4 linked regions of the Drosophila melanogaster genome follow. The protein of the gene in region 3 purifies or fractionates together with the protein of the main gene of each other region. This does not show direct contact. Each region holds a gene or a part of one and is shown on either strand. Other genes may lie near its edges. The genes, in order: Ras64B, babo, hzg and dah.

What was found.
Region 1: the proteins of hzg (region 3) and Ras64B purify together in Drosophila melanogaster (affinity purification with western blotting; one study listed by BioGRID). This does not show direct contact.
Region 2: the proteins of hzg (region 3) and babo purify together in Drosophila melanogaster (affinity purification with western blotting; one study listed by BioGRID). This does not show direct contact.
Region 4: the proteins of hzg (region 3) and dah purify together in Drosophila melanogaster (affinity purification with western blotting; one study listed by BioGRID). This does not show direct contact.

What each region holds. Positions count from the first base shown.
Region 1 is NT_037436.4:4,137,479-4,141,898, reverse strand, and holds Ras64B (Ras oncogene at 64B), read right to left. Parts: upstream 2,824-4,420; 5' UTR 2,721-2,823; coding exon 2,640-2,720; intron 1,993-2,639; coding exon 1,905-1,992; intron 1,849-1,904; coding exon 1,439-1,848; 3' UTR 501-1,438; downstream 1-500. Other genes in the region: Akh (adipokinetic hormone), read right to left, coding at 6-176, 245-313; Rop (Ras opposite), read left to right, coding at 3,085-4,420. UniProt on the Drosophila melanogaster protein: May be involved in endocytic processes and/or other transport pathways mediated by vesicle trafficking. May interact functionally with ROP protein. Ras proteins bind GDP/GTP and possess intrinsic GTPase activity.
Region 2 is NT_033778.4:8,948,426-8,956,814, reverse strand, and holds the start of babo (baboon), read right to left. Parts: upstream 4,477-8,389; 5' UTR 3,844-4,476; coding exon 3,786-3,843; intron 3,713-3,785; coding exon 3,398-3,712; intron 2,082-3,397; coding exon 1,964-2,081; intron 1,857-1,963; coding exon 1,648-1,856; intron 1,103-1,647; coding exon of another isoform or gene 957-1,102; intron 1-956. Other genes in the region: Tom7 (translocase of outer membrane 7), read right to left, coding at 4,749-4,813, 4,923-5,022; CG8229 (uncharacterized protein), read left to right, coding at 6,228-7,235; CG33199 (uncharacterized protein), read left to right, coding at 6,059-6,109, 7,874-8,062.
Region 3 is NT_037436.4:15,999,667-16,008,205, forward strand, and holds the start of hzg (herzog), read right to left. Parts: upstream 5,071-8,539; 5' UTR 4,683-5,070; intron 4,409-4,682; 5' UTR 4,315-4,408; coding exon 4,233-4,314; intron 1-4,232. Other genes in the region: mRpS31 (mitochondrial ribosomal protein S31), read left to right, coding at 5,624-5,661, 5,726-6,181, 6,248-6,884; mib1 (mind bomb 1), read right to left, coding at 7,067-7,207, 7,267-8,539.
Region 4 is NC_004354.4:15,324,413-15,333,121, forward strand, and holds dah (discontinuous actin hexagon), read left to right. Parts: upstream 1-3,929; 5' UTR 3,930-4,031; coding exon 4,032-4,260; intron 4,261-4,323; coding exon 4,324-4,540; intron 4,541-4,597; coding exon 4,598-5,455; intron 5,456-5,519; coding exon 5,520-5,637; intron 5,638-5,699; coding exon 5,700-5,859; intron 5,860-5,921; coding exon 5,922-6,289; 3' UTR 6,290-6,590; downstream 6,591-8,709. Other genes in the region: Top1 (topoisomerase 1), read left to right, coding at 1-788, 863-1,113, 1,175-1,326, 1,404-1,506; CG9114 (uncharacterized protein), read right to left, coding at 6,615-7,075, 7,132-8,530.

The sequences.
Region 1 (4,420 bases), about 12 Mb from region 3:
GCTATCTACTCGCGGTGCTTGCAGTCCAGAAAGAGCTGTGCCTGAGATTGCACGAAGCGGAAGATCTCGAGCAGCATTTCGTTGGAGGTCTTGCAGTTGCCCTGCTGTGTCTCGAAAAAGGTTCCAGGACCAGCTCCGCCCACCGAACGCTTGCCCCAATCCGGCGAGAAGGTCAACTATATAGAGGAAAATAAAATGAGACATCAGAAAGGGATATCCTGCAGCGGGATATGAATTCACTCACTTGACACTGGACGCAGGCCAGCAGCATGAAGAGCACGGCTGCAATGAGGACTTCGCTCTTGGGATTCATTCTGAGTTCTATGCTGGTCCACTTCGATTCAGCCCGCTTTTATACCCATTGAGCTCGAAGGGAAGACAGCTGGTAAGTAATTAACACAGCACTAGCAAGGATTCTTTCTATAATTGCTTGGATTGGGTCGGAATTTTCAATTCCAGTCGAGAGCGTCATTGAAACAATCTTCTATGTGGAAGCGTTTGTGATTCTCCATGTGTTTATTAGAATTGCGCATATGTTTAATTTTAAATTTAATTATATATTTATTTATATACCATTAAATAAGTTCGTTAAATTAAGCAGTGTATAAGAGTTAAAACAAGATTGCGGCTAAAGCAACTGTTGCAATACATTTGGCGAACAATAAACCATAGGATCCGGATCCGACTGGGGACATGTACAAAAGTATCGTTAAGTGAGTTGTGCGCGCCTGGCAGCTGCGGGTATAGTACAAAAATGCCGTGGGTGTAATACAGAGTTTGATGTTTTAGATTTCTACGCGCGAGAACGAGGCACTCAATTTGTTACAACAAAATCGGTTTGTAAGCAGTTAATATATGTATACGTATATATTAGTAGTAAATAACAATACAAATTACAATAACACATTATTACGTTTTGGCTTAATCGAAACAAACGTTCTGGGCTTAGTTATTGCATTATAAAAACAAATGGCCTGCGAGCCACGATTGGTAATAATCATGAAAACATTCGTCCTTAATTGTTGTCGTTGATCAACAAAATAATATTACAAAAATATATGTAGAAATATATATGTATATATAAGTTATTCGTGTGAATCTGTTGTATATATCTACCTATGTTTCGTGTTTCTGTTTGCATTTTGCATTGTTAGTTGTCAGTTGTAAGATTCTTCGTAGCTATTTGAGAGTGGCGAAGTTTATTCGATTCGTTCGTTGAATGCGCCATGCACCTGGGCAGGTAAGAAATGCACTTCGTTTGGGCTCGTTGACACGTTTTGTGCGGTTACTGGTTTCGGGTTACTGGTTTATCGTCTTCTCAACGGAATTCAAAGCTCAGTCGACGCGTGTTTTTCAAAAAATTTGGTGTTATAATCATTATATGTTGGCTCCTGCTTCCGCTGCGGCATTCAGGAGATTCTCTTCCATTTAGTTCCTTCTACATCAGGCAGCACTTCCTCTTGCCCTTCTTCTTGTAATCCTGCTCGATGAAGGGACGCTCGGCGATCTGGAACTTGCGCACGATCCTCACGAGCTCGTGGAAGGCCTGATCGACGTTGACCCTCAGTTTGGCACTGCACTCGATGTAGGGGATCATCAGGTTGCGGCTGGTGTTCTGCGCCTCCTCCAGGGACACCTGCTGCTGGTGCTTCAGGTCGCACTTGTTACCCACCATCAGCATGGGGAACTCGTCGCGATCCTTGACGCGCAGTATCTGGCGCTGGAACTTGGGGATCTCATCGAAGCTGGAATGATCGTTGAGCGCGAAGACGAGCAGGAATCCCTCGCCGGAGCGCATGTACTGCTCCCGCATGGCACTGAACTCCTCCTGGCCAGCCGTGTCCAAAACTAGGTAAAATATCAGGTTATTATGAATCTGGTAAGGGTAAAGAAAGGAAGCTTACTGTCCAATTTGGCTGGCACATCGTCGATGTTGCACTGCTTCGTGTACGAGTCTTCAATGGTGGGATCGTAGTCCGTGACGAAGTAGCTCTGCAAGATTAGGATTAAAATTATTGTACCGCCAGCTGCCGAGGCCACAAAACTACATATATAAACATTATAAGACTGGGTTTTTTATGTGGGCGGGGTGCGTTTATCATTCCGCCTTTGATTTGTTTACACACGTCACTTTTATCATTCACTATCCACTATGCTCTATATATCTTGGGGAAAAGCTACAGCATATACACGAAAGATGTGCAGATGACGCAAATGACTAAAAATAAATGGAAGCGGGCGGTCATTGTGGTCGTGACCATGGCACAAACTCTCGGGGAATCGATCGGCACACCCAGAAAACTGGGGGCTGCGTCTAACGCAACTCCCTGGTTCTGGGCTCTGACCACTTGATCCCCAATTGGAGATACACACGGGGGTGTGGCCACCGCGATGATGATGCTGCCAATGATGATGATGATGATGATTGTGTTGGTGATGATCTCGGCCCGAAACTATGCACACGCATGTCCAAACACAGACGCACATCACAGTCGCTTGTTGCTTGTTTGTTGCTCTGGCCAAAACAAGGGCCGTCCCCCTGCCACCGCCCCTGTGCGCCATCGCCCCCCACTCCCACATTCAAACGCCCCTGTGGAAAGCGACGTCACCAGGGATTGGGCCGATGCTGGGCGGCTTACCTGGATGAACTGTATCGTTATCGCTGACTTGCCCACGCCGCCGCCGCCGACGACCACCAGTTTGTACGTTTGCATCTGCATTTCCCCGTTTAAATCGACCAGTTGGCCAGCAAAATTATTTTATTTTCCTTCCTCGACAGCAGCAGCGTGACCGTTCTCGGTTAACTGAGAAATCCACACTCGCACTGAGACGGGTGCGCGTCTCTGCTAGACAGTAATATCGATATCAACTATCGCTAGCCAGCAATCGACTTTCGCCCATCACTAAGGCTAAGTCATCAAACGAAAAAAATACAGAAAAATTGGCCAAGGAATAGATAAAATTCTTTAAGTCAAGTTAGCCCACGCGAAAAAGCGAACGGAATAAGCTAAAAAGACATATTTACACGCAGTGTGTTCATAATCGAGTTGCCTTTGCGCCCGTGACCAATAAAACGCAGTGAAAATGGCCTTGAAAGTGCTGGTGGGCCAAAAGCTGATGAACGAGGTGGTGAAGTACAAGCCTCCACCACCCAAAAAGCAGGGCGTTACGTCCGCTGCGGGGGCGGGCGGCATGGAATGGCGGGTGCTGGTGGTGGACAAGCTGGGTATGCGCATGGTGTCCGCCTGCACCAAGATGCACGAAATCAGCGCCGAGGGCATCACCCTGGTTGAGGACATCAACAAGAAGCGCGAGCCGCTGCCCACGATGGACGCGATCTATCTGATTACGCCGTCGGATGAGTCAGTGCGCGGTCTGATACGAGACTTCGAGAACCCAGCGCGGCCCATGTATCGCTATGCCCATGTCTTCTTCACCGAAGTTTGTCCCGAGGAGCTATTCAACGATCTGTGCAAGTCGTGCGCGGCCGGAAAGATCAAGACGCTGAAGGAGATCAACATTGCATTTTTGCCATACGAATGCCAGGTGTTCTCGCTGGACTCGCCGGACACATTCCAATGCCTCTACTCGCCGGCCTTTGCCTCCATTCGGAGCAAGCACATCGAGCGAATTGCCGAGCAAATAGCCACACTGTGCGCTACCCTTGGGGAGTACCCAAATGTGCGCTACCGCAGCGACTGGGACAGGAACATCGATTTGGCCGCGTCGGTGCAGCAGAAGCTGGACGCCTACAAGGCCGACGATGCCACCATGGGCGAGGGCCCCGAGAAGGCACGATCCCAGCTGCTGATCCTGGATCGCGGCTTCGACTGCGTGTCGCCGCTGCTGCACGAGCTCACCCTGCAGGCCATGGCCTACGATTTGCTACCCATCGTCAATGACGTGTATCGCTACACGCCCGGCCCCAACCAGCCGGATAAGGAGGTGCTGCTCGACGAGAACGACGACTTGTGGGTGGAGCTGCGTCACGAGCATATCGCTGTGGTCTCCACCCAGGTGACTCAGAACCTTAAGAAATTCACCGACTCTAAGCGCATGGGCTCGGCTGACAAGTCGTCGATGCGCGATCTCTCGCAGATGATCAAGAAGATGCCGCAGTACCAGAAGGAGCTGTCCAAGTACTCCACCCACTTGCATTTGGCCGAGGACTGCATGAAGTCGTACCAGAACTACGTGGACAAGCTGTGCCGCGTGGAACAGGATCTGGCCATGGGCACGGACGCCGAGGGCGAAAAGATCAAGGATCATATGCGCAACATTGTGCCCATCTTGCTGGACGCCAATGTCTCGAACTACGACAAGGTTCGCATCATTGCCCTGTACGTCATGATCAAGAACGGAATTTCCGAGGAGAACCTGACCAAGCTGTTTACGCATGCCCAGCTGTCGCCGAAGGATC
Region 2 (8,389 bases), on a different chromosome or scaffold from region 3:
TTGCTCAGCCAGGAAAGGGTTGGGGTGGGTTTGTCAGCTGCAGCAGGTGGATACAATTGTGTTTTGGGTGCAAAGGCAGTAAGCGGAGTCGGTCGCGGTCATCAAAAAATACCAGGGAATATGGAAGGGAGCCACTGCCAAATGTGGGAGAGTTCGGGTTTACTCTTACACCAATTTATCAGAACAGTTCCGTTTTTCACTTTCCCACACAATTTTGTTATTATTCTTCCAGCAGGAGAAAATCCAAGTGAAAATCGGAACCCAACCATACATTGCTAGACAATAAACCAGGAAAAACAGCGTAGGTACATCATAAACTTTTTTAAAGATTTTCGTAAGCTGAAAACATTCGTGGAACCTCGAAAATTGGGATTTTAAAAACAATAAATCCAAGGAAAACCACATACATCCCGCGAAGGAGGGCAAGAAACCTCATCGCGAGCGAAAGGCGAGTGGGAGTGCTTCCAGGACGAATCGAATTCACCCCTTGAGTGGAAGCTCTGATCTCTACAAACTACAAAGATACTTTGGCATGCATAAGGATACGTGTAATTTACTAGGATAAGGTGTTGTAGGCTGGATTCCGTATAAGATTTATGGTGTGTATTTGTGCCACGCGGAAAAGCAGGGAGAATAGAAAAAAGTGAAAGGTAAAGAAAAAGAAAAATAAAAAGAAAAGAAGAGGTGGGAGTCCGAGAAGCGAAAAAGTGCAAGTAGTCAAAGTAAATATGTAATAAGCTAAGGGGAAAACTGAGGCGGTGTGCACACCTGAGGGGAAACAGACTGAACTAAACCAAAAATTATTGTTACAGATTATTGAATTGTTATAATTAATCTATTAATCATATTGATGCAGTGCTAATTAGGCGCAGTGAATTAGAGAAGGAGTGCAAACTAAAGATAGAAATTGTATTGTTGTTGGTTGTGTGGTTTTTGTTACTTGAATGCGGCTGTACCTGTTTCAAATATCCTCTTCATAATCTCATTCTTATTGCAGAAATCACTCTTACAGCAATCAATCCTATACGTATCGAACCTTTCGTTACTGGTGAGGCATTCGAAGGGCTTACTCCGTTGCATATTGTACTTGACAACCATGCAACTGGGTCACCGTACAGCACAGTCCACAAATATGTGAACGAGCGGGGATAATGCGATAAGTTCGATATATTCATTCGAGTGGAGGAGCCGAAGGGAGCGAAGGAAATATCGGGAGATAGAGAAAATAAAATAACAATTATACGAAATTAGTATTGCTTGGCATTGGTTGTTGGTTGCTGCTGATGCTGCTACTGCTGCATCTGATTCTGATTTTGATTCTGATTCAGCTGTAGTTGTTGCCGCCTTCGGCTTGTTGCTAATTGAAGTGGCAGTCTGGTTAGTAGCAAGAAGAGTATTATAATTATATTGATTACAGTGTGTGTAACGCCGCTCTGGTTTTCAGCAGGTCATCATTAGTAGTGCTCTGCATTTGGGGTTATGATCATTTCAAAACTTCAACTCAACGAGCATAAGTGGGGGAAACAGTCCAAAGAACGATCAAAACTGGGCAACTGGTTGTTGAACGGCGTGCGAGTGAACAGAGAAATGGGAGCAGTCAGAGAGGAGGGGTTTTTGGGAGCGAAACACGTGCATAAGCGCACGCACCTTGGACGGAGATTTGCCGCCCTTCTTCGACACGATCACTCCTCTGGTCCTTCGTCTTTGGCCACAGAAATCGGTTGCAGAAGTCCCTGTCCTTGCAGCAGGCGTGGGCGCCATTGCGACCCACTGGGCGGGCGGTTGGTCCGCCGTGCAGCCCGTCGTTACACCAGATGGAGCGGCCCGGCGGAAAGATTTGAGACTTGTGCAGACATCTGCATCGCTCGATAGATCGATCGTATCAGACATATTCACACTGGCTGCTCTGAGGGGCAAGTGCTAACCTAATCAAAGGCCTGCTCCTCAGGCTCTCGGCACTCACCTGTAGCTGAAGATGATGCTCCCATCAGAGTTCTTCTCCACGGACGTGAAACAAAAGCCGTCCGTTTCACATATATTGTTCGATTCCTTGCACGTGTCACAGTGGCATTTTATCTTGTCTGCAGAACATAAAAGGTAAAATTAATATAAAGATCTATTTGCAAAAAACCAAACTTTAGAGTACTATCAAATCCATACATTCCTACCAAAAATTTGTTAACTTTAAACCGACTCACCAACAAAAACTTATTCTTCGCTTAACGATATATCTTCACTATTTGTAGGTGATCCTAACCAAGCACGTGTTTCTTGTAATATTTAATGAATATTAATTACTTGTGGAAAGGTAAGCAAAGGAAGAGGTCCGCGCCTCATTTGCCACGGTTAATGATTTTCTTATTATTTAAACAAATAAAACGCAAAAGCATAGGTTAGCAGTAGCAAACTTCTCGAATTAAGAAAATGCCCCGACTCCGATTGAAGCAAATCAATCAATTAGGCGCTGGCAGAAATTAACTAATTAGAGAAATAAGAGACCCATAAATCAACCACTCGCTGATTGGCATCTCCTGACCACAAATTGGGATTTGCCATAACCATGCCCCCGGGGCACCTGGCCGGGCACACGCTCGCCCAGACAGTCACATAGACATCCATAGCCACTACCATATCCACATCTACCGCCACCGACACCGCCGAGAGCGTGATGAAACAAAAACAAAACCATTTAGCATTAACAAAGCAGACGCGGAGAAGACAAGTGCAAAGTGGAGGGCCAGACAATGCGACCAGTTTCCCCTTCCCCCGGACAGCGAGAAGCCAGTGCCAGTGCTTAGGCCTGCTTTTTTTTGCACCGACTGCAGTTGCAAGTGCCCAAGTGCAGCAAGCAAATGCATCCAGACGTGGGGGTGTCTGCAGCCAGGCAGCGTTGGAGTGGGCCATGAGAGCTGTCTGGCTCAGCTCATTGACACCACGGAGAGGTGACGTCACTATATGGGAACGGAATCGGAGCCTCAGGCGCAGACGAAGACGGCCTTTTAGAAGCGTTCAGAGTCTTTGAGGTGTTACAGTCACGCGATATACACACGGAGAAAAGATCCCTATGGCATCGAAAAGATCGCCAAGTATTAAGTAACCCTTGGTAAGATATTTTAATTATTAAACAACAACAACAAAAATGTCAATATATCGGACAAGTAAGGTATAACCACTAAGCGGTTTCTATCTTCTCCCAATAATGGATTTCACCTTAAAAAAGGGAAGTAAAATGACCTTTACTCTGTGCTGACTTTCCTGGTTAACTGAAGTCAAGTAAAATGTTTGCAAGGCAATACCGGAACAAGTCTGTAAATCTATCACATTCTTGTTGTTTAGATAATTCGGGGTGCATTGTCCGCAGTGTGCTCTACACTCTCGTTAGGCAATCGGAACTTACTTTCTGGCTTTTTCGCGCTAGGCTGAGCAATGTAGATGGGCAGCTGGGGAGTAACAGCAGGGGCCACAGCTCCAGATGCGTCGCCGTCTTGCGGCAGCAGCATGGACACGGCGCTAGCGTTGTTGTTGTCGTGGCTTCTGTTATCAGCGGCCAGCGACGACGATGGCGACTGATAAGCATGTCCAGCTGTTCCAGCTGGAGCCCTGAGCGCCGGCGCTTTGGTCGTCGGTGGCCATTTGCCAGGGTGGGTTGCAGTCGCAGGATCAGATCGAGAGCCATTTAGGCTGGTGTCCATTACGAACTCAATGGGGGAGGCTGCACCGGGGGAGATTTTAGGTTAGTTTCGCACCTGATCCAGATTAATGGAACCGCTGGGGGGTACACTCACCGCAAACAGAGGCGCCGAGCAGAGCGCCCAGGAAGATTAGCCGGAGCGCAGATAACATGTTGGCTATTCGCACCGACGATAGTGTGTGCGACCCGACCCGAGCTATTGTTATTGTTTGTGCAGCCCGAGAGCTTTTCTTTTGTTTTCCACGATCGCACGCACGCACACGCGCGTCGCAAGTTCAAAGTCTGTGGCCTGCAAATGAGATTGTTGTTTCGCGGCAGGACGAGGCGGGGCCGCAGGAGCAGGAGGAGCGGCAGGAGGACACCTCAGACAGCCACTAATTGGCCCCGAACTGCGCATTTATCGCGTAGGACAGGCGCCCGCGAATTCCCACATTTGGCGGGGGCATGGCCGGGAATATAGACTGGCGATTCTCACAATTAGCGAATCTCGATGGGGGCCCGCAATGCGAAACTCGAACTCCACACTCCGCACAAGTTGGTTGGAAAAACTGCTCTGCTCTGCTTTACATTTCACGGACGAGGGCGACTTTTCAGGCGGATTTTCATCACGTGATTGGGGCAGTGGCGCGGGGGAAGTGGCACTATTTCATATTCCGCGGGACAGCCGGCACTTTCGGGTGTCTGGGGCAACCGTTTGTTTATATTAATTGCTGCTATTTTTTCTTAAATGTACAATTTTGTGCAGCGAAAAACCGCGCTGGTGTGTGTGGATTTGCAAACAGTGTGACCGCACCTGCAGTAGTGTGCCCAGGCTGGACTGCCCATGAAAAACACCCACCCGCTAGAGAAGTGCGTAAAAATGCCCAATCGGTTATGTTTTTATGGACAATGATTTTTGTTAAAATATTGGTTGTTTCCAGGATACATAAAAAAATTTCGATTTGTTTTGTAACAGATATTTATTTGCAATAGCTGCAGGTACTGCACCCGTTCCCAGAAACCCAACCAGAACCAAAATGCGGGGCATACGACAGCAAAATGATCATGTCCACTATTTTTACTGCCATAACAGACTGAAAAGGTTCAGAGGCGGCATGCCAGGCTCAGCTCCCTTCATAAATCCTGCGAAAATGAGAATTGGTCAAAATCAATGTCGGTCCATTTGATATTACCCCGCTGCTTCTTCTTCCCAGCCGCGTGTAGATTACAAAAAACATGAACCACAACTTACCCAAATACAGCACAAGAGGCACGAATCCCCAGTGGAATCCAGTCTGGACGACTCCAACCACAAATCCCAAACGATCCTTAACTCCCTCGGATAGCTTCATTTCGTACGGATATTGAATTTAGCTCCTTTTGCGAATTATGAAATGATAACTTGTCTGACTGCAAACGAAGTGTTGGAAAACAGCACTTTTTTCGATATAAAACAGCTGACAGAAACTTTTTGTTAGGTTACTCGTTCAATTTATATTTTCTTGGGATGGCTTTGTCGCAGGTTGCTGGGCCTGAAATAATTTACCAATTTAAAGAATCAGTAAAATTATTTCGAATACAGATTTCTGTTGGTGTGGCAACATTGACATTTGAGCGCAAAATTTAAATTCGCTTCTAAAACGGTCACACCGTTTTGCCCTTTGGGTTTTAATCTGATATTCTTTAATTTATATTTTCCACTATAAAGGTTTTTAACTACCATTTCACCGACAAGTTGTCTATTGGACACATATCATGAAAAGAAAAAAGTGTGCTTGGTCTGAAAAATACCTTTTCGTATTTTTAATGATCCCGCAATATTTTTGCATGTGTACTCCCATCAACTTTAAAGATGTTACATTTCCAAAGTTTCAAATTCTGAAAGCGTTGGAAATGCAACAAGAATTTGAAGTAAGGAAACTTCTTTTTAACGCTCAAAGTTTTCGTTGATTTCTTAACAATATGAAGCATAAAAATAAAAAATACCCCTGCTATCTCTCGCAGCAGGCAAGTGCTCCGTAGATCGATACTATCGCAGCCACTCGAAGTCCCATCTCTAATCTCGAGTCCCTTTCGCACTTGCCCGCTACTCACATGAGTTCTAGATCGTTTAGTTTTCTTGGTTTTCATTTGCTCGCCAAATTTTAGCAACGTTGCTGGTTTAATCGGCTGCACCTGCAATCGCGGTTAATCAGAGAGCGCCGAGCACTAAAGTTCCCATTGCCAAACGAAACGTAAGTGATAAAGAACGCCAGCAATGAGCGAACAAGAGCAAAGCGCACGCAGTCGGGGAAAAATCAATTGATGTTATGTAAGCTCGAATAACCGGATACCGTGTCTACTACTGTTGCAGGTCCCGATTTGCTCGATTTGGAACTGGAACGGACCATGAAAACAAGCAATCTCGGCCTGTACGCTTTCCGTTTAACCTTCGGTCAGGTGAGCACACGCACATTAAACCAGGCAGCCAAACGGCAGAAACAGCATGCGCATTCTGGGGGAAACCTCTGAGTTTTTCGGCCGGGCAAACCAAGGACCACCACAATCGTCGTTGAGAATGCAGCGACTGCAGCCGGGAGACGAGTGTCTGGAGTGCCAGAGTGAAGGCAGGAATCACAAGCTGCGCTACTTTTACATTAATCTCGAGGAGCAGCTGCTGAAGTGCGAGTCCAGGAGCTGTTTGTGGCCACACAACGATGAGGTCTCCTCTGATGAAGATCTGAACTCGGAGGCAGCACTTCCCATCACTGCTCCACAATCTGAACTTTTTGAATCTCCTGCTGCTACGCTACCTTCTCACCCTGCGGCCTTAACGTCCAAACCTCCTCCAAATGATGACGAATTTATATTGGAACTGCTGCAGCAATTGACTTCTGCCACAGAAACCCCCCTTAAGACAAATGTGAGTTCCAGTTCCATGCCAAATCTGCACTCGCCTTCAGAGGAAAAACCCTGCCCACAACTGGAGCTTCCCGACTTAAGCTTTCTGGAGGAGAACAGTACCGTATGCAAGGAACCCCCACAAGCATTGAAATCAGAGCTGGGAGTACCTTCAACTGTCGTCTTACCCGACAGATTAATAAGTCCGCCCAAGGCAAAAGCAGTACAAACTGAGGACACCAAAGCCAAGGAACATGTGGCTCATCTGAAGGGAGCTACGTCCCAAAGCTGGCAAGGCAAAGCTGAAATACCATTACTACCCGCTTGTGTGAAGGCAAGTGTGAGGATGTCTCCTAGCATCAAATCTAAGGGGTCTCCCTTCAGCAGTCCGCCCAAGAAAGCAACCACCCAGCCGCAAGGTCAGTCACCACCGTCAACGCCGCCTGCCGTCAATATTATTATCAGTGTTCCGGAGTTAAACACGGGAATGAACGGCTTGTTTCTAGACGCCATTAAACGCCATTCCACAGAAGCCAAACCCGCGCTACGTGGCGTAGGGAGACGCCCTAAGCGACTGGCCAAGGGAACCACCAGCAGGGGGGGCATTCGCACACAGGATGTAATGCACTTGATCGAGCATTTGGAAACCACCACAGAAGCGAAACTTACGACACCACGGACGTAATAGGCTGGCATTTAGCTTACTCAAGTATTTGAAATAAATTTGCATATGAAATAATGCATGAAACCTCCGGATAAGAATTCAAGTTCGTTTATTTATAAACAAGTCCGTTACGCTATGTTTTTTTTTTTTTTTGGCAACTCAAATTGTGGATTACTAATTCGCGGCACGCGTCTAGAGCATGTTCAAGTGGACAGGAGAGATAGCGCTGCCGACAAGAGAGCGTGCTATCAGTGGAAGTGAACTTTGGAAAGGAGGTCGTGGCAACTGCGTCACGCGGAGATCTGTTTCAAGCCGCGATTAGCTGTTGAGCTGCAGAGACTGACTGATAATGCAGTTGAACGTCATCTAAGCGCTGTGACAGTGATTGCGATAGTGATGTCAGTCACGATAATATGGCATTACATCGACCCTTTGCAATCAGTTCAATAATCGTGCGACCATGTGGGGTAATCGCATTCGTGTGGACGGCCGGGGCACTTGAACCTAGTTGCCAACTGCCGGCGTAAATTGTTTCTGCTGCGTAGTTGCCTGTGTGGGCGGGGGCCGTCGGGCAGTGGGCCAAGTTTATTGTTTGTTTGGATTGATATATATAAAACGAGCGAAAAACTAAATTTGTCTCCCTATCTTATCTCCCGCAGGCGCCGACGTTGTCCACACAGGCCACGACGCACTGCAGCCATGGCTTCACCACCAGCTCGTCGTCGCCCAACCGTGTGGTGACCCGCTCTGCCACCATGCTGGCGCTCTTCGGCATCGCGCTGTCCTCGTTCAGCCTTAAGCAACTGCTGGCCAAGAAGCAGAAGCACCAGGGCCTGCGCAAGCTCTAGAATGGAGCTATAGCCAGAAAGATTAGAGCGATGCCAACGCCAACGGTTGAAGCGGCGATGAGGAGCCAGAGCGCCATGTCCTGAGGTCACACATTCGATATTTTCATCATCCGCCATCATCGTGTATATTTGCCTAAGTTAAGTCACCCACTCACCACAGACCCAAGCGGAACTCGGACATGGAGGCTTGTTTTGTAATATTCTGTTCGATAAACTAACTGATCGGAGGCGAGGATCTGTGCGCATATATAGATATATTTTCTTGTTTACACATGCACACCATGCGTCGCCAACTAAAAGGAATAAATTTGTGATAAATCGTGTATG
Region 3 (8,539 bases):
GTTCTTTTTCACTGTTTTTTCAATTTCAACTTCAAGATAGAGGCAGCTTAAAATTTAAGCCGCACCGAAGAAGACGGCAAACAAAGTTAATGGCACGTGATATAAATGGGCAAGAAACAAGTGTCAATGGCTACAGTAAATATTGGAAAAATGAATGAAATGCTTTAACTGTGCAAATTAAATGTTGTTGATCAATTAATTATTTTTTAAATACTTACTTAAATAAAAAGGGTAAGGAAAGTAAACAGTTTTTCTCACTGTATCAATTGTTACACCTGCTTTAGAATTTTTGAAAACTGAGTTTCCTATCTGCCTCGTAAAGATGGCTGTATAAATTTGCAGCACCCCAATCCCGCCTTTGTTTTTTGGGGGTTGGCCTTTATTTAACCCCCATCGTAGTTCAACGAACCCATATTAACCATGGAGATAAAATCTCCTTGTACAGAACTCGTTGACCTTTATCGATTCAAAAATGAAAAGCTAAAGGCATCATTTTCTAAAGTGTTTCTTCTGTTTCTGTGAGCAATAGTATGTATGTACATATATAGGAAATAGCAGCACACAAATCATTTGCACGCAGTCCGCTCATCTTGTGCCGTATATAATATTATTTTTCAATAATTAAGCATTGCATCTGCATCTGTTCACTGTCTGTTTCGTGTATTTTTGAGCCCATTATGTCGTAATTTAGATACACTTCTAGATAGAGGGAATATTGTTGCAAGACAACAAATAGCCAATTTAGCCAATTAAAGGGATTTTGAATGCACATTTTGAGACTAAATACCTTAAAAACAAAATCCAATAGCCTTTAATAGATTTTATTCATAAAATAGTATAAACAACGTTCGTTTAATGTTAAAATTGCGTCTTAATACTTAACCATTTTTGGGCTAGCGCATTAATTGTAAAAACCTCGAGTTCGTTTATACAATCAAATAACTAAATTTTCGTAATTTACCTTCACGTTTAGTTATTTTTGGATCTGCCTAATAATTGCATAATATAAAATGTTTATACATTTAAATTATAAATATTTCAGAGCGTACAACAAATGTTTATAGAATTTAACGTTACTAATTTCGGTGTACAGCAATAAATGAAATAATTTAAAAAAAATTCTATATATTAGAACAAGTGATATGTTTATGAAATAAAAATTATAAACATTTCAGCGTGCCGCAGTAAAATTTTCAGCATTCGGTCCGATCCAGTTTTCCCCATTTTCCGAAATTTGTTTATGCACGAGATCTTTGAACTCAATTCGCACTCTTTAATTTAACATTATTTGAGGCTATTTTTAGAGACCCCCCTCAATAAATGTGAAAAATAATAAATTTTTGAGAAAGGGCGTTAAATCGAAGAAAAGCGCACTGTCTGTGTGTGCACAAGCAATTTGCCTTCCAAGACCTTGAGAAAATTGAAAAATCACAGCAGTTCAGCTGAGGCGTCTAGAAATGAGATACTAGAGAGCATTTGCGTTTGCCCATAAAAACAATATAGATGTATTTATAAGCGAGGGGGAGTCCATGGGGCGGGAAGGCGCAGGGGGGGGTTTGGCGGTATGGCGAACACATACATATCTATATAAATATTTATACGCGGTGAGGCAAAGCAAAAAGCACTTAGGCGGCGGCACCCACTCTCAAATAAAAAAGAAAAACATATTTCAACTGTTGCTGTTCGCTTGCCGGTTTGCCCCTATTGCCGTGCTTTTCGCACGCACAGGCGCCCCACACACCCACTCGCTCTCTCACGAAAAACAGCTGAGATCAGAATAATAGTAGTGGGTTTTTTTGAAAAGCATAAAAAATACCCACTGTTGCTTCTATTTTATGATAATACACATACTTAGCTTACTCATAATGGACCTAACATAGAAATCAAACGCATACTAAAAAACGAAGCAAGCACATAACAATTCTAAACACAAACTTTGTGATAGCGAGTTGGAAATTATTAAATTTTTGTAAGTGTACTACAGTCTTGACCACAAGTGTGGTACATACAGTTACGGTGACGTTTTGCTCATTATCTCACGCTCTCTCATTTGGCCAAAGCTCAAACTAGTAGAAACCGCATAGATCCCTATTTGGAATGCAATGGGGGATAACTTGATTTCAAGATGTAGGCTCCCGAAGCGATTTTCAATATACATAAATATGTATTTATTACTGGTGACACATATAGATCGGCGCATCGATAAAGAAAGACATTCATATGCGGCAAACTGTGAGCACAGTCGATCAAAATCAAAATCAAATTCGAAATCAAAGTGAGCGAGCGACGTCGATTAGCACCTAACCGCAAATATTTTGTATATAATATACCAAATGTAGCCCGTACATGTGTGTGGACACATGTATAAAAGGTGCAGCGGCGACCGCAGATTAGATTAAATTAGTTATTACTTTACTTTAAAGCGTTCATCGCGTTTTTTTTTGCGCTCAGTCGGCCCCACCCTCCTATTTTTTTTTTATTTGTTCACTCTCTGCACAAATAAAAAAAATCTTAAGTCTTAGGTCAAGTACACTTTTTTTTATTGATGCTCGTATCATTTCGATATGGAAATGATAGCGAATGGCTAAGTTTGGTCACGTAAGTGGCACTTCTGACAACAAAAGTCGGGGTTTAATTAATACCACTGACCATTCGATTTTGTTCTTTTTGTTAGATATAAATACATATGTCTCGGATTGTATTTTAAATATAATGTGGTTAATCTTTACTTTTCTATCGCATTTTCTTCTTATGTACATAGTTAACCCGCTCTCTTTGGGCTCTCACCATTCATTTATTCATTCATTCATTACAACCATATCGCAACCTTTAAGCTACGCTTTTGTTGTTCGTCTGTTGCTTTGCTTGTTTGTTTGTTTGCATCACTGTAAAAAACAACACACACAACTAGTTTGATTGTGCTCTCCCTCTTGCTATCTCTCGTTTTATACCGGTTTTCCTGTATTTTTCTCAACTTTTTTTTACGTTTTTTACCTTGCTTTTTAGTGTGCAATTTAATTGGCAGTTTCTATTGTTGGACCCTCGAAAGTAAACATGCAAAGGCAGTTAGGCAGTTAAGCGAACGAAAAGAAAATAAGATGGGAGGAAAGTAAAGGCTTTCGTGTCGAAATTCCATGACGTCACATGTGCCGAAAGACGTCATCAATTGATTACAGGTGGGAGTGGGCCAGTGGGTGGCAATTGGGCGATGGGCGGTGGGTGGTGGCTGGCTGGTGGCAGAGTTGCAACTGCGTCGCAAAATAATTCAATAACCACAAAGCGAAGCCAGCAAGTGGTTAGATCATTCACAATGGCCAACGAACAAGAAAACACTGTGTGCTGAATAAAAAAGGGGCGAAACAAACACAACAGACAGGCACAACTGGCGTGAAAATAACACTATTATTAAGTATTGTTATTCATCGCAGTGAAAACCTGTGCAAGCCCATTTATTTAAATGTAAATGCATGACTGGGGACATTTTTGATTAATAAATTGATACCTTTGAATATTTAAAGGTAATTTTTGCTAGCATAGTACAGTTATCAAAGTCGAACAATCTATTAAGAAAACATAAGTCTGATTTTTACACAATAATGTGTCTATAAATTCAAACTCCTAGTCTACCTTGAAAGTAGAAAAAGTACAGACATTTAAAATGGAAATTAGATTCCCAATTAAAGAAAAGAAATTGCCATTTAATTGGTTTCAAATTACAGAAAGTACAGCAAACTGGTCACAGTCGTGCAAACAGATAATAGCTAACGTTAATTTAAATATTTAGCTTAGACAGAATTGAACAACTTTTTCCAGCTACAAGTTAATTGCATGTTGTTTGAATATATTTTTCGAATTAAAAGCACTTTTGTCTTTCATCAGTTTGTTTTTGGAGTGGTTCCTGTACAAATTAAAAAGGCCAATGCCATTTAACTTGCTGCTACTTTCGGAAAGTACGACATATGTACAACTAACTTATTCCCACAATTATATTGACCGCAATTGGGTGTGTTAGAAAGGTCAGCGGGGTGTTGGGCCCTCTTCTTTGGGAGGTTATGGTGGGTGGTGGTTGGTAAGTGGGGGAAACTTCTTGGCAGCGGACAAGTGTCCTTTCGTCTTTGTTGTGACGCCTTCGAGTGGCGATGAGTCATGAAGGGAGCTTTAAATATATGTATGTGTATGCGGACTGCGTTTTCAGCGATTTCCCCAGTTTGGCCCCCATTATTTGTTCTCACCTTTGTCATTGGGATAGCTGGGATAGACGTTCAGTTGCTCGTCGTCGCGGGAAACTTGCGTTATTATTGATGTTGCATCCATTTAAGCACTCGGTTTGTGGCTCCACTTCGCTTAACAGGTTGATAAATCGGATTCGGATTCAGATACTGATTCAGATCGGTTTCGTATAGGATAGCTGCAAAATGTTGCGCACACATGAGAGATAGAGATACATTGGATATGGCAATTATCGCGAGATGATTCCATGTTTTCTTCGTATATATGGTAAGTGTCGTGCAGTATATATGTCGTACATATATAATACATCTACCACGTATATATAGCTCACACACACACACATGCACCAATTGATAGCCTGCCCCAGACAGTGGAATTTTACAATTACGCTTTGGCCGTCCGTTCGCTTCGTTTTATTTCTCGATGCAAATGGGTTTCCCTTTGATATTCACCTCGCTATTTATCGCTCTCTCTTTCGCTCTGTTGCACTTTCGCCTCTCTGTTTTAGTAAATTTAAAACTTTTCAACGAATTTCAATAAAAAACACTTTCTTTCTTTCCTTCGCTCTTGTTTTTGGTTGCGCTCATTCTTTTACTTCTTTATCCGCGTCTGCTTTTCGCACACAGCTTCGCAGCGTTTTATTTATAAACGCCCACACAGACACAGCACTCACACACACTCTCGCACGCACACTAGCTCGGCCGCTGGTGTTTTCGTTATTTCGTCTCGTTATTTATTTATTTTTTTTATTTTTTGCCATTAATTAATCGCGCAAAATAACAAAACGCGTGTGTACGTCGAAAAAAAGTAACAGGAATAGCGCAAAAAACAAAACGTGTGATTAGTGTGACCGCGGTGGATGCGAGACTTATTACCAAGTGCAAAGAAAAAGTGGTAACATTTCGTGTTTACCTTAGAATCACAGGTTGAAGAAAGGCTTGATTATAAGTTAATTACTTACAAGGAGAATGTAGAATTCTATAAAAGGAGCTTGTTTTGAACTACATAATTATTTTCATAGATTTCCAAATTCGATAATCAAAGGTCATACTATCTGGTGCAATTTGGGCTGCCAACTGTGGTCAAGTTAATCTATAAAATTCTTGATTCAAAATGCAATTTTAAGAACATTTTATTTCAAATTATATCAAATCAGATAAAAAACAAATGTCCATGAAATGATTAGGTTAGTTAAGGATATTTTCAATCAAAACACTATAAGAAATAGGACAAGGGAAGCCAAACATAAAATAAAGCCAAATTTAACTATAAACTAGCTTAAACGGCAGTGCAAACAGTTCATCTGGTCTGGCAACTCTCCGCCGAATTGTTGTTACGCGAGCGATTTCTTTGGTCTTATTTCTAGTTAAAATTATCAAAGAAATATTATAAAATGTTGGCCGTACGAAGTTCCCAGAGATTGGGCCTACGGTAGGCCACCCGTCTAATTTGAAATAACCAAAAGAAATCCGTCACTCGACTATTTATTTTTCAGTTCCCTGCTACCGTCTGCCTTCAAAAACGTGGGATTGGTCAACTACTCCTCTTCGCAGTCCAAAAACGACGATGGATACTCCTCTTCGGACGACGAAAAGCCCACGAAGAAGAAGGAGGAACCTGTGGAAACGGCGGCCCAGCGGCTGAACCGCCTGTTGGGCACCATGCAGGCCACGGATCAGCTCTCGGCATCGGACTTTCCACGTCCTGGTGATGCCAACAGGAAGCGGAGGGAGGCCCAGAAACAGGAGGCAGCCGCCAAGAATGTTCTAACTGCGGCCAAGAACATTGCTAGCATGCTGGGCACCAGTGAGAGCGACAAGAAGCAGACAGAGTCTGAGCTATTGGCCAAACTCCTTGGCCATGGAAGCGAGTCCTCTTCAGCAGCGACCGGAGAAAATCAGACGGCGGATGTTTCGGGATCTCCTTCTGGTGATAAGGAACTCAATCTGAGGTGTGTAAAAATGATTTTCTCGCATTAATGGATAATCTAATAAAATTTATTTTCCTTACACAACAGTGATATTATCGTGGGCATGAAGATCGATCGTCGTCAGCAGCCGCAGCAGGTGGAGCAGACCCGCGGCGAGTACGTTCGCCGCTCGCTGGCTTCCAGATTCAAGCCACAGAATCGAGATGGGGCTTATCAGCGGTCACAGAGGCAAACCAAACGAGAGGCTGAATCCTTTACGGGCAGTGTCAATTTGTACGGCGGGGAACCGTTGGGTATCTTCAAGGATACCCAGCTGCCGATTTCCAACGACATCCTTTCAACCTGGTCACAGCTGAGTGAGCGGGAGCTTAGTTTACAAGCTTCCCATCCCCCGGCAAACTACTTCGAGCAAATGGTCCTGTGGACGGATCAAAAGAAGGTGTGGCGCTTTCCCATCAACAATGAGCAGGATTGGGAGGACGAGCATAACGTGGACTTCTCGGAACACATTTTTCTGGAACAACATCTCGAGGATTGGTGTCCTAGCAAGGGGCCTATTCGCCATTTCATGGAGCTCGTCTGCGTCGGCTTGTCCAAGAATCCCTACTTGACTGCCCAGGAGAAGAAGGATCACATTTTCTGGTTCCGTGACTATTTCCAGGCCAAGAAGGACATTCTGAGGGATCTGATTAGCAAGGAGCCAAGCAAAAGTATTTCTGCTTAATGTTTTTGTTTGAATATTTGTTAAAAATATATTTTTGCTTTATAAGACCAATCCGATATATAGTTATATATATGATATTGTGTGTGTATATATGTGTGTATAAGAATGTGAGTCCTTTAAATATCCTAATACTTCGAAGGCTGTGCAGACTGTGCGCGGAATGTGTGAACCGGGAACGGGCTTCAGAAGAGCAGGATGCGTTTTTCCACGGTCTTGCGGCAAATGGGACACCCCTCAATCTGGTCGCCACACATCTGGCACGTGCCGTGGCCACATAGGAAGACCATGTTCTTTATGCGGTCAAAGCAGACAGGACACATAGTCTATAAGATAAATTTGAGGATCAGTCACTGAACATATTTTCAATCTTATTTGAGCTCACCTGTTCCTTGATGTCCTGCAACTGCTGCTTCAACTTTTGGACATCATCCATCTGGAAGTTGTTGACATTGGAAGGAGCCACCATCGCGTTTCCAGCTGCTGACAGATTCGAGACATTCGAAGAGGCTGCTGCAGCGGCCAGGAGATTATTCTGGCTATTCAACTGATTGCTGCTGCCCGCCACTGGAGTAACCACGGTGTTGTTCATGGCCACGCTATGGCCGGAGGCATTGGCACAAGCTGCCGCTGCTGCAGCTTCCATGAAACGATCGTCGGGCAGTGGCAAGCCCACTGTTGCCATCGCTCCAGCTGCCACGGACACCTTCTCCGGTCGTCCACTACCTCCGCAGCAAAGGCTGAACGATAATATCTCATCGATTTGCGTGCGACACAGGACGCACTTTTTCATCAAAGCACTGCAGTGCTCACATGCGACCATATGGCCACAGGGGCGGAAGAAGACGGCTGCCCTGCGATCCGAGCACACCAGACACTCGTCGATCTTTTCGCGCGAGGAGACGGTCTCCCGACAGATGAGGCATTTCTTCACCCTCGGAGCGCAGGTCTCGCAGCAACTGACATGGCCACAGGGCTTAAAGACCGTATCCCGCTTGGCATCCGAGCAAACCAAACACTCATCAAGACTGGCTGACGATTTCGGAGGATCCTCGTGCAGGGACTGGCTCATTTCGTTGGCGATGCCGTTGAGGGCAAATATGGAAGATGATGAGGCAGCTGGGAAAGTGGATGAGGCAGCTAGGCTGGAAAGCGGCATATTGACTGAGGAGGACTGATTTAAGCTACCACTGGCTGCTCTTGCCCTGGCACTCGAACTCGTTCCAGCTACATTTCCGGGCAACTCAGAGTCGTCGGTCTTCCTTTCGTTGTAGCACTTGACCAGGGTCTTGCAGAGATTGGGATCTGGGCACAGGTCCAGTGGGGTCTGCTGCTTGCGATTCTTTAAGGTCAAATCAGCTCCATTGGCAGCCAAGAAGCATGCAATCGAAGCAGAGGCCTTCTTGTTATTAGCATTTCTCAGGCCCATCAAGAGCTTACCAAATCCTTCCACATCTTGCAGTTGCTTCAGCTGCGACAGAGTGTGATGTCGCAACGCTTCATGCAGCGGAGTATCCCCGTCTTTGTCGGGTATGTTAAGATCTGCCCCATCCTGCACCAGCAGCTTGACGATTTGCACATGCTGACGCTCCACCGCAAGATGCAAAGCCGTCTGGAGATTCACATTTTGCCTATCCATATTGGCCTTACCCATATGC
Region 4 (8,709 bases), on a different chromosome or scaffold from region 3:
CAGCAAGGAGGAGAAGCTGATCAAGAAGAACGAAAACGAGGCGCTGATGAAGGAATTCGGATTCTGCATGATTGATGGGCACAAGGAGAAGATCGGTAACTTCCGCCTGGAGCCGCCAGGCCTGTTCCGCGGTCGTGGCGAGCATCCCAAAATGGGCATGATCAAGCGGCGCATCCAAGCCAGCGATGTGTCCATTAACTGTGGCAAAGATTCAAAGGTGCCTTCACCGCCGCCCGGATCTCGCTGGAAGGAGGTGCGCCACGACAACACGGTCACCTGGCTGGCCTCCTGGATCGAGAATGTGCAGGGACAGGTCAAGTACATCATGTTGAATCCCTCCTCGAAACTCAAGGGCGAGAAGGATCACATTAAGTACGAGACGGCGCGACGCCTGGACAAGGTAATCGATAAGATACGTGCCACCTATCGCGACGAGTGGAAGTCCAAGGAGATGAGGGTTCGCCAGCGAGCGGTGGCCCTTTACTTCATCGACAAACTGGCGCTGAGAGCAGGCAACGAAAAGGACGAGGATCAGGCCGATACCGTGGGCTGTTGCTCGCTACGCGTGGAGCATGTCCAGCTCCACAAGGAACTGAACGGAAAGGAGAACGTGGTGGTCTTTGATTTCCCCGGTAAGGACTCCATTCGGTATTACAACGAGGTTGAGGTGGAGAAGCGCGTCTTTAAGAACCTCGAACTGTTCATGGAGCACAAGAAGGAGGGCGACGACCTCTTCGATCGTCTCAACACGCAGGTGCTTAATGAGCATCTCAAGGAGCTGATGGAAGGTGCGTATTTACAAATTATCTATAATTATTTTTCAACATACTTACTCGTCGCTTTTTATTGGCCAACGCAATAGGTCTCACGGCCAAGGTATTCCGTACGTACAACGCATCGAAAACACTGCAAAGTCAGCTGGATCTGTTGACCGATCCGAGCGCCACGGTACCGGAAAAGCTGTTGGCCTACAATCGCGCCAACCGTGCCGTGGCCATCCTCTGTAACCATCAGCGTTCCGTGCCCAAGAGCCACGAGAAGTCAATGGAGAATCTGAAGGAGAAGATCAAGGCCAAGCGGGAAGCCATCGAAAAATGCGAGTCCGAGTATCATGTAAGTATATTCGAGAGGTTCTTCCGCTAGCAGTATGTTTAATTGTTATAAACCAATGCAGTCGAGAGACGAGAAGAAGGGCAAACAGCTGGAGCGCCTAAGGGATCAGCTGAAGAAACTAGAACTACAAGAGACTGATAGAGACGAGAATAAGACCATTGCCCTGGGCACATCTAAGCTAAACTATCTTGATCCACGCATATCGGTGGCTTGGTGAGTGGTCTCTCCCTTCAAGCAGCACATTCCACTCAACGAGAACTAATATATATATATATATCATCCATTTGCAGGTGTAAAAAGCATGACGTGCCGATTGAGAAGATATTCAACAAAACGCAAAGAACCAAATTTCTGTGGGCCGTTCATATGGCCGATGAGAATTATCGTTTCTAAATGGGTTCTCCTCACAGCCACGCCTAGACACAAACACACAAGTACGCCGACCCTTCCTCCACCCACCACCACCCCTTCAGACACACACACAAACACACACTCGCACCCGATCGAAGAAGATGTAACAACAAACCACACCCACCACAAGGCCGGTTTATAAATAGATTCCATGCCAATCCCGCCATTGTTTGGTCCACAGTTTATGCAATTGATAGTGCATATGTCCAGCTTTCGGCCAACGCAATGGGGGATTGTTAGCCAAAATGAGCGGGACGGAATGCTGCACTACATCGTAGTCGTGGAACCGCTTGTACGCGTCCGTTTTGTCTGCTTTGAATGGGATTAATGGGATCAAGTGCATACTACGCCGAAGTCTAACTTGCGAAATGTGCACACCCAAACACAAGCTAATCCAATATATGTCAGTTTTATTCATTAAAGGCAAGAGGAGATGTGAAACCTGGGCAAGACGTCGCCGCCACCTAAAAACAAATCAGGAGCATAATTTTCTATGTCTCTACAAAAGAACTTTTTTGTCAAGATACCCTTATACTTCATAATTTTACATATAAAACATATATACATATATATATTTATATTTATGTATATAATAATATTTGTGTATATATTTTTATTTTTAATATAATACATACATTTACATAAATATATATATATAGATATATATATATATATAAAAATATAGATGTATATATATATCTATATATATATATATATATTTAATAGCAAAAGCAAACGAAAATTATACAATTTAAAACGCAATTTTTTTTATGTTTACCTATAGTTGATTTTGTTTAGCGAAAACAAAAAACAAAAACAAAAACAGGCATTTGTACATAACAAGCCAGCAATTAGTTACCAAATTAGATATTAACTAAATTAAGATATAATAACATTGTAAATAAATATAGCTGTAAGCCCCGTAGCTAATGCTATACTATCTAAGTTAGTCTAGTTTTGTAAACTATTCTATCTATCATAATAATAATAATAATTTGTATAAGTGCAAACTGAACAGAGAAACCTTGTAGCCCAACTTTTAGCATAGCATAATTTATTCAATTCAACTCTGAAGCAGCGCTATTTGTCGACCGACCGCCCCCGAAAATGAAGAACAAAGCCACATTGGATGGATCTCGATGTGGTTTCGCTTTGATTTCGTACCTTATGATCATTTTAGTTAACATTTCGAAATATACAAATGCTAAATTGATTTGCAGACAGACCCTTAACTTTCTATACTCTAAGCAGACAGGTTTCAAGTTCTCAACCGCAAACCAAGCCGCCATCACACTGAAAACCAATTGCAGATACAAATCAAACGAGCAATTCAAATAACTCGATGAACCAAAACAGAAACACAGCCAGCAAACCAGTCGCAGCGAAAGAAAGAACTTTAATCTGAAAGAAAGGAACTTTATACATATAGAATCTATAGAAGTATGTGCAATTAAGTGAGCTAAAACTATACCTTAAACCTTGTAAAAATCGAGCCTTCACTTGAATCCTTCAGTCGACGAGAGCAGTGGATTCAGGTGGAGTTAGGAACATCCCCAACATCCATGTGCCCCAATCCCATCAGCTACGATTATGGCCGTACTTTTAACTAAGCAAATCGATGGAAATTTATATCTCGCCTCACGCCCCCCCTAGCATAAATGGCAAACGCGCATTGCAAATGAAGAGCGAACGATCTTTATATACATACATATAAACACACACACACACACGCCCAAACACATATTATAATTAGTGATTGATATAATGTGAACGCAAACATCTGTGTGCGTTTGTCGTGGATTCGCATACGGAAGCGGGAGAATGCTTTTAAAAGGCAAAAAAAAAAGTTAAATAAACTAATTACGAACCCTTCTTCGAACGCCCAGCCCCGCCCCGCCCCGCCACAACACTCACATATAAACTTGGCATATTATAATATTGATATAAGCAAACAAAAAACAACAAGCGAAATGATAAGAAACCCACTATTTTAAATCGAAAGCAAAGTAAATGAAAAACAAAATAGCATAAGTGAATGTAATTGCAATGGAATGATGCAAATATACATAAAATATATATTTAATTTTAAAATCTATGTGACACTCTTTCCATTTCCTCGTTTTGGGTAATTATTCGCATTCAAAAGAAGGGTTTTTAAATAACTTTGTTTTGTTTTTGAAATTGGGAAAATACTATGGTGAACCCAAGTTGTTCAGTTTACATTTCCCGTTGCTCAAACTTATTTACCAATTATTATATCATGGTCAAATATTCTTAGAACGAACGGATGACTTAATTAATGATAATAATAATTTTGAATCAAATTTAAAGCGCTAACGGTTCGGCGAAGTGATATCGATAACACGCGCGGCGTTGCCACCTCACGCCACACAATTTGACTTTTGCGCTAACGGAAGAGGAAGAGATCGCGAGAAACGACGCGTTTAAAAGAGACTGAAATTAATTCGAGAATCAAGGGAAATATATAACAATAAACGCCTGACAAAATGCTGAGATCGTCGGTGCCCGTGCAGCTGACAAAACTGCGAAATAGCGCCGAGGCCGTGGCGTCCATTGCCCGCGAAAAGGGATCCCAAGGTGGCCAAGGACAAAAGCAACAGGTGGACAAAGAGCTATCCACCATCATGGATGACTTGCAGCGGGATTACGGGAATTACAAGTACACGGTATACCGGTGCGCCAGTAAATTTGTGGCGCTGCAAAAGATATTTCACAGTGAGTCAGTCGCGTAGGTGGTCCATTCGAAGGAGTCCCCAAGGATTAACCTTCAAATTGCAGCTGGAAAAATCCCCTACAAGCTGGTTTTGGCCATTTTGGATCGCCATAACTTGAGTGGTGGCCTGGAACTGATGGTTCCTCCATTCCAGTTGACCTCCCTGCTGCACGATGTATACTTTGCCTGCGAGAAACTAGGCCATTTCAACCAGGATGCGAACTATAAACTGGACAGGGCAACCGGGCTGTTGGCCAACTTCTTCTGGAATGTCTACGATCCGTGGGTTGAGTTTCTGGCATCTTAAGAATATGTCTGATATTTGATTGGTTTCGCTAGGCAACGCAGACACTCCATATCCCTGTTAGAGATCAGGATCACCTTCATACTGCTGTGCAAGCTATATAGCAGCGATCACCTGGTGGGCGACATCTTTGGCCTGCTGGCCGATCCCAAGTCGCAGATCATCTCCAGATATGCATTCGAACAGCTCCTAGCCACGCTGAGCAAGTTACTCAGCTATTTGGGCGAGGCCAAGGCCTATGGCGTCCACAATCTTCCGTTGGCTATGGAGCAGTGCTTTGCCCGCTGTCCGCATGGCGTTGGTGGACTGACCGAGCCGCAGTTCCACAAACTCTGGACGGGAGCGGGTGTCCAGACGAGATTCCTGATCTATGGCAATCTGCTGGCACTGGTGAAACGCATCGAGGACACCGAGCATTTGATTCACAGTAATTCTTGTGCCGGCTGCCGCAAGGAGCACATTGTGGGCATACGTTTCCGGTGTCAGGTGTGTAGGGATATATCGTTGTGCCTGCCCTGCTTTGCAGTGGGCTTCGCTGGTGGTCGCCACGAGCCGGGTCATCGGATGTGCGAGGTCTTCGTGGAGGATCAGCCGCCATTGCGTTGGACCCGCCACCTGGCCAGGCTGTGCGGCTGGCTGGTGATGCCGCGCAAAACACAGGAGGAGGAGCGTCGCGGCTTCTGTAATGCGCAGGAGAGTGGGCCCGCCTTGGGTCAATCCGCTGCCACGCCCATTCCCGCAGAGACGCGCAGTGTGCGCAGTCAGTGCCAGGAGAAGGACCGCACAGTTGTCCTGCAGCAACAGCAGCAGGAGCTCTGCTCCCTGACGGGTCTAGCCAGCGAGGCGTCCAGCAGGCTGCAGTCCATCATCGATCGATTGCTTTTGCAAAATGCGTGGGTGTTTTCCCTTCTTTCGCCACACTTGTTAGCCAAGCCTTAAGGTTCTCTTGCATTTCAGGAAGCTGGAAACCCAGCTGCAAACAGTGGCCACCGCATCTAGTTCGGAAATATCGCAGTTTCTGAGCGCCCATCAGTGCTTTCTGCTGCAGATTATCGAGGATATGCGACAGCTATCAGTGAGTTTTCCAAACATTCGGCCCATTTAAGCTGAGCTAACTCCATTTATATACACTTGCAGCATGCCTCAGCGGTAACTTCGCCGCCACCTGCGCCAGCTGCCCAAGTGGCGCCTTCAGCTGCGCCCCTAGTCAGCTCCACGTTCCTTAGCTCCAGCACGCCTCAGCGACAGATGCTATTCGACATGTATGCGCCCGTGGGTGCCAATCTCACGCACTCCAGTAAGAAGAGAACCTTCAACAGAGCCATGAGACAGCTCCACTAAGTTAATCGTTTCTTGTAGTAAATGGCGCCGACTTGAATCGCAGCTATCTGGAGGCAAACAAATCGGATTACTCGCTCAACGACATAAGCTTGTGGTTCGACCAGCGTCGCTCGAGTGTCCAGCCAGGACAAGGACCTGGTTCCCTGCCGGCTCCTCTGCCGCTGCCCATGCCGCTGGGTGCTCTACTGGAACAGCAGCCGGCAAACGGCGGAGATGGCCGCGACACCGAGATGGTGAACTTTAAGCTGCTGCTGCACAAGGTCAAGGAGATCGTCGAGGACTCGTACAGCGATAATGCCGAACTGTCGGCGGCCACGCAAAATCTGGAGAACGTTCTCGATAGCATCATCAAGAGCGAGGAGCAGCAGCGGCGCATCAGCACGTGAGGATCCGGATCGGATACCAACTCCCATCGATTCCAGCCAGACCAAGTCCACTTAGCTTTAAGTTGTAAAGTTGTTCTAAAGTAATCGTGACAAAATGACACAACCGAGTCATGCATTTATTATATCCTTCTTCCTTTTCCCATGTGCTTTAACATTCGCGTAAATGCTTTAATTTGTAAACTTACAACTCTGACAAGAATGCAATACAACAAAATGTTTTTATAAAAATATACAATGCAAAAAACACATTGTTAACAAAGCATTTACATACAAAATATCAACTTTGTAGATTTTCCAATGCAAAGAGAAGAAAAAAAAAACGCATTTACGCCCCATTGTCATCATCATCATCGGTGAATAGCATAGAAGCCAACACATCGCTGGCCATTTGTGCCTTGTGGAGCTGCGTCAGCTGCTCCCGGCGCTGCTCCACACTGGCTGCCGGCTCACTCAAAACCTTCCAGGCGTCCATCTCCTCGAACAGACTGTTTAGCAACTCCATCTCCATGTCGGCAGGCGACATGTTGTGCTCAGCGACCTCTAGCACATTGAGGTTGCAGTGCAGCTGGAGGAGATCGCGCGTCAGGCGATGCAGTAGCAGACGCAATCGATCGTCCGTTCTGGCGTACACATGCCAATGCTTTCCGGGATCGTCGCGAAGCAGCAAGGTGTCACACCACTGTGACTGCGGCTGGCGATTGTAGAAAATACGCTGGACAGGATCGGCGGCGATGTTGGAAGACTGAAAGTGAGACCCAGGCTCACTGTCGTCCAGCAAGTCGGAAGCTGTAAGGGATTATGAGTTAAAAGGGACAACAAGTGGTCTTGACAAAGCTACTCACTCGGCTCCTTGTTTGCTTCCTGGGCTTGGATCAACTGAAACTGCAGCGTGGAGACGAGTAGCTGCTCGAATGTCGTGCAATCCTGGGCCGACTGGAACTCCAATTTCAGGGAGCAACGTGCCGTGTGCGTCATAATAACGGCCAAAAAGTCTTGGTGCAGCGTGGCGGGCGAAAATGTGGGTGCCAACGATTCTGTTTTATCGAGCAGTTTCTTCACATCGAAGGTAATGAGATGGATTTGCCTAGGGGATGCATCCTCGCCCATCTCGTACGTTGCCATCAATATGAGTTTCTCTGCCTCAAGAAGATCGACCAGACGCAGGCTCACTACCATCGCGGCAGATCGTTCCGGCGGTAGTATTCTTTCCTTCTCCACCGGTCGCCATTTGAGACGCCTGCTATGCTGATCCTGGCAGGCCCAAAACTGCGCCAGCTGGTCGTAGTCCTCGGGTGGTTGGCCATCCGCCTGCAGAGGCAGCTCGTACAGGCGGTGCTCCACGCTAAAGTCGGTGTGTGGTTCGATTACAACAATCGGATACAACTCCTTGACTATGGTGAGGCGATTGGTGCCAGTTATGTTGACTAGCAGAGTGCCACAAACAAAATAATCGCCGCAGATCCGAGTCCATACATCGCCGAGTCGTCGGAGCGGCTGCTTCTCCTCAAGGAGCAGCGAACGCTGGCCCGGCGTGCCGAAGTATAGAAGGTCTTGGACGTGGGCTAATTCCTTCTGGTTTTGCATTCGCTGGCTGTCGAGCTCGGCTTGGGCGCGGTGCACCTCCTGCAGCAGGTTCTCGAAATCCTTCGCGGGCAAGCCCGCATTTTTGGACGTGCTGGGCTCCTCATTTAAGAAATCCTCCTGGAAATCACAACGCTGACGCTTGCCATTGCCGAACTCCAGTTCCACAACGGCCTGGAAGGAAATGGGACCTTCGACCATCTGGTAGTCCACCACATCCTTGTGATCCGCCACCAGTTCGAAGTTGGCCCCGTGATCCTTGGGCCTCTTTAGGACGACGAGATGCTTCCAGCACTGAATTAACAGGTAGATGCCCTCCCGTTGCCACACAAACTTTCCAAATTTGAGGGGCAAATCCTCCGGCGGATCCAGCATGCTCCAGTCCACCTTTTCGTCAGTGGGTTCCTGCTTGGACAGAAAGGGACAAACCGGTCCGTCGTAGGCCTCCAGTTGGGTGGCTATTTGCTTTAGTTTCGTGACCTTCAAATCGATGTAGTGCACCAGATCCTTGCGCCGGAATTCGTAGAACTTTAGGTTTCTCGCTAAAACCAATGTAGTGGGGTCATCCCGCGGTCGGCCCACGTGAAGATTGGCGCAGAAGGCCAACCGGGCCGGCTGGAGCAGCATCTCCGGCACATTCTCCTGGACAAACGGCAGCATGGATGCGGAAGCCACAAGATGGATGTGGCGCCCTTGACTCGAAAGCCCTTCGAATCGATAGCTATTGAATTCAAGTAGTAGTTATCGATGCGGTGAACGATATTAGGCTATTTTGAAATGGAAAAACCAATATTAATCGAGTTTCGAATGCTCCTTTTAGCGAGAGGTAAGTCTTTAAC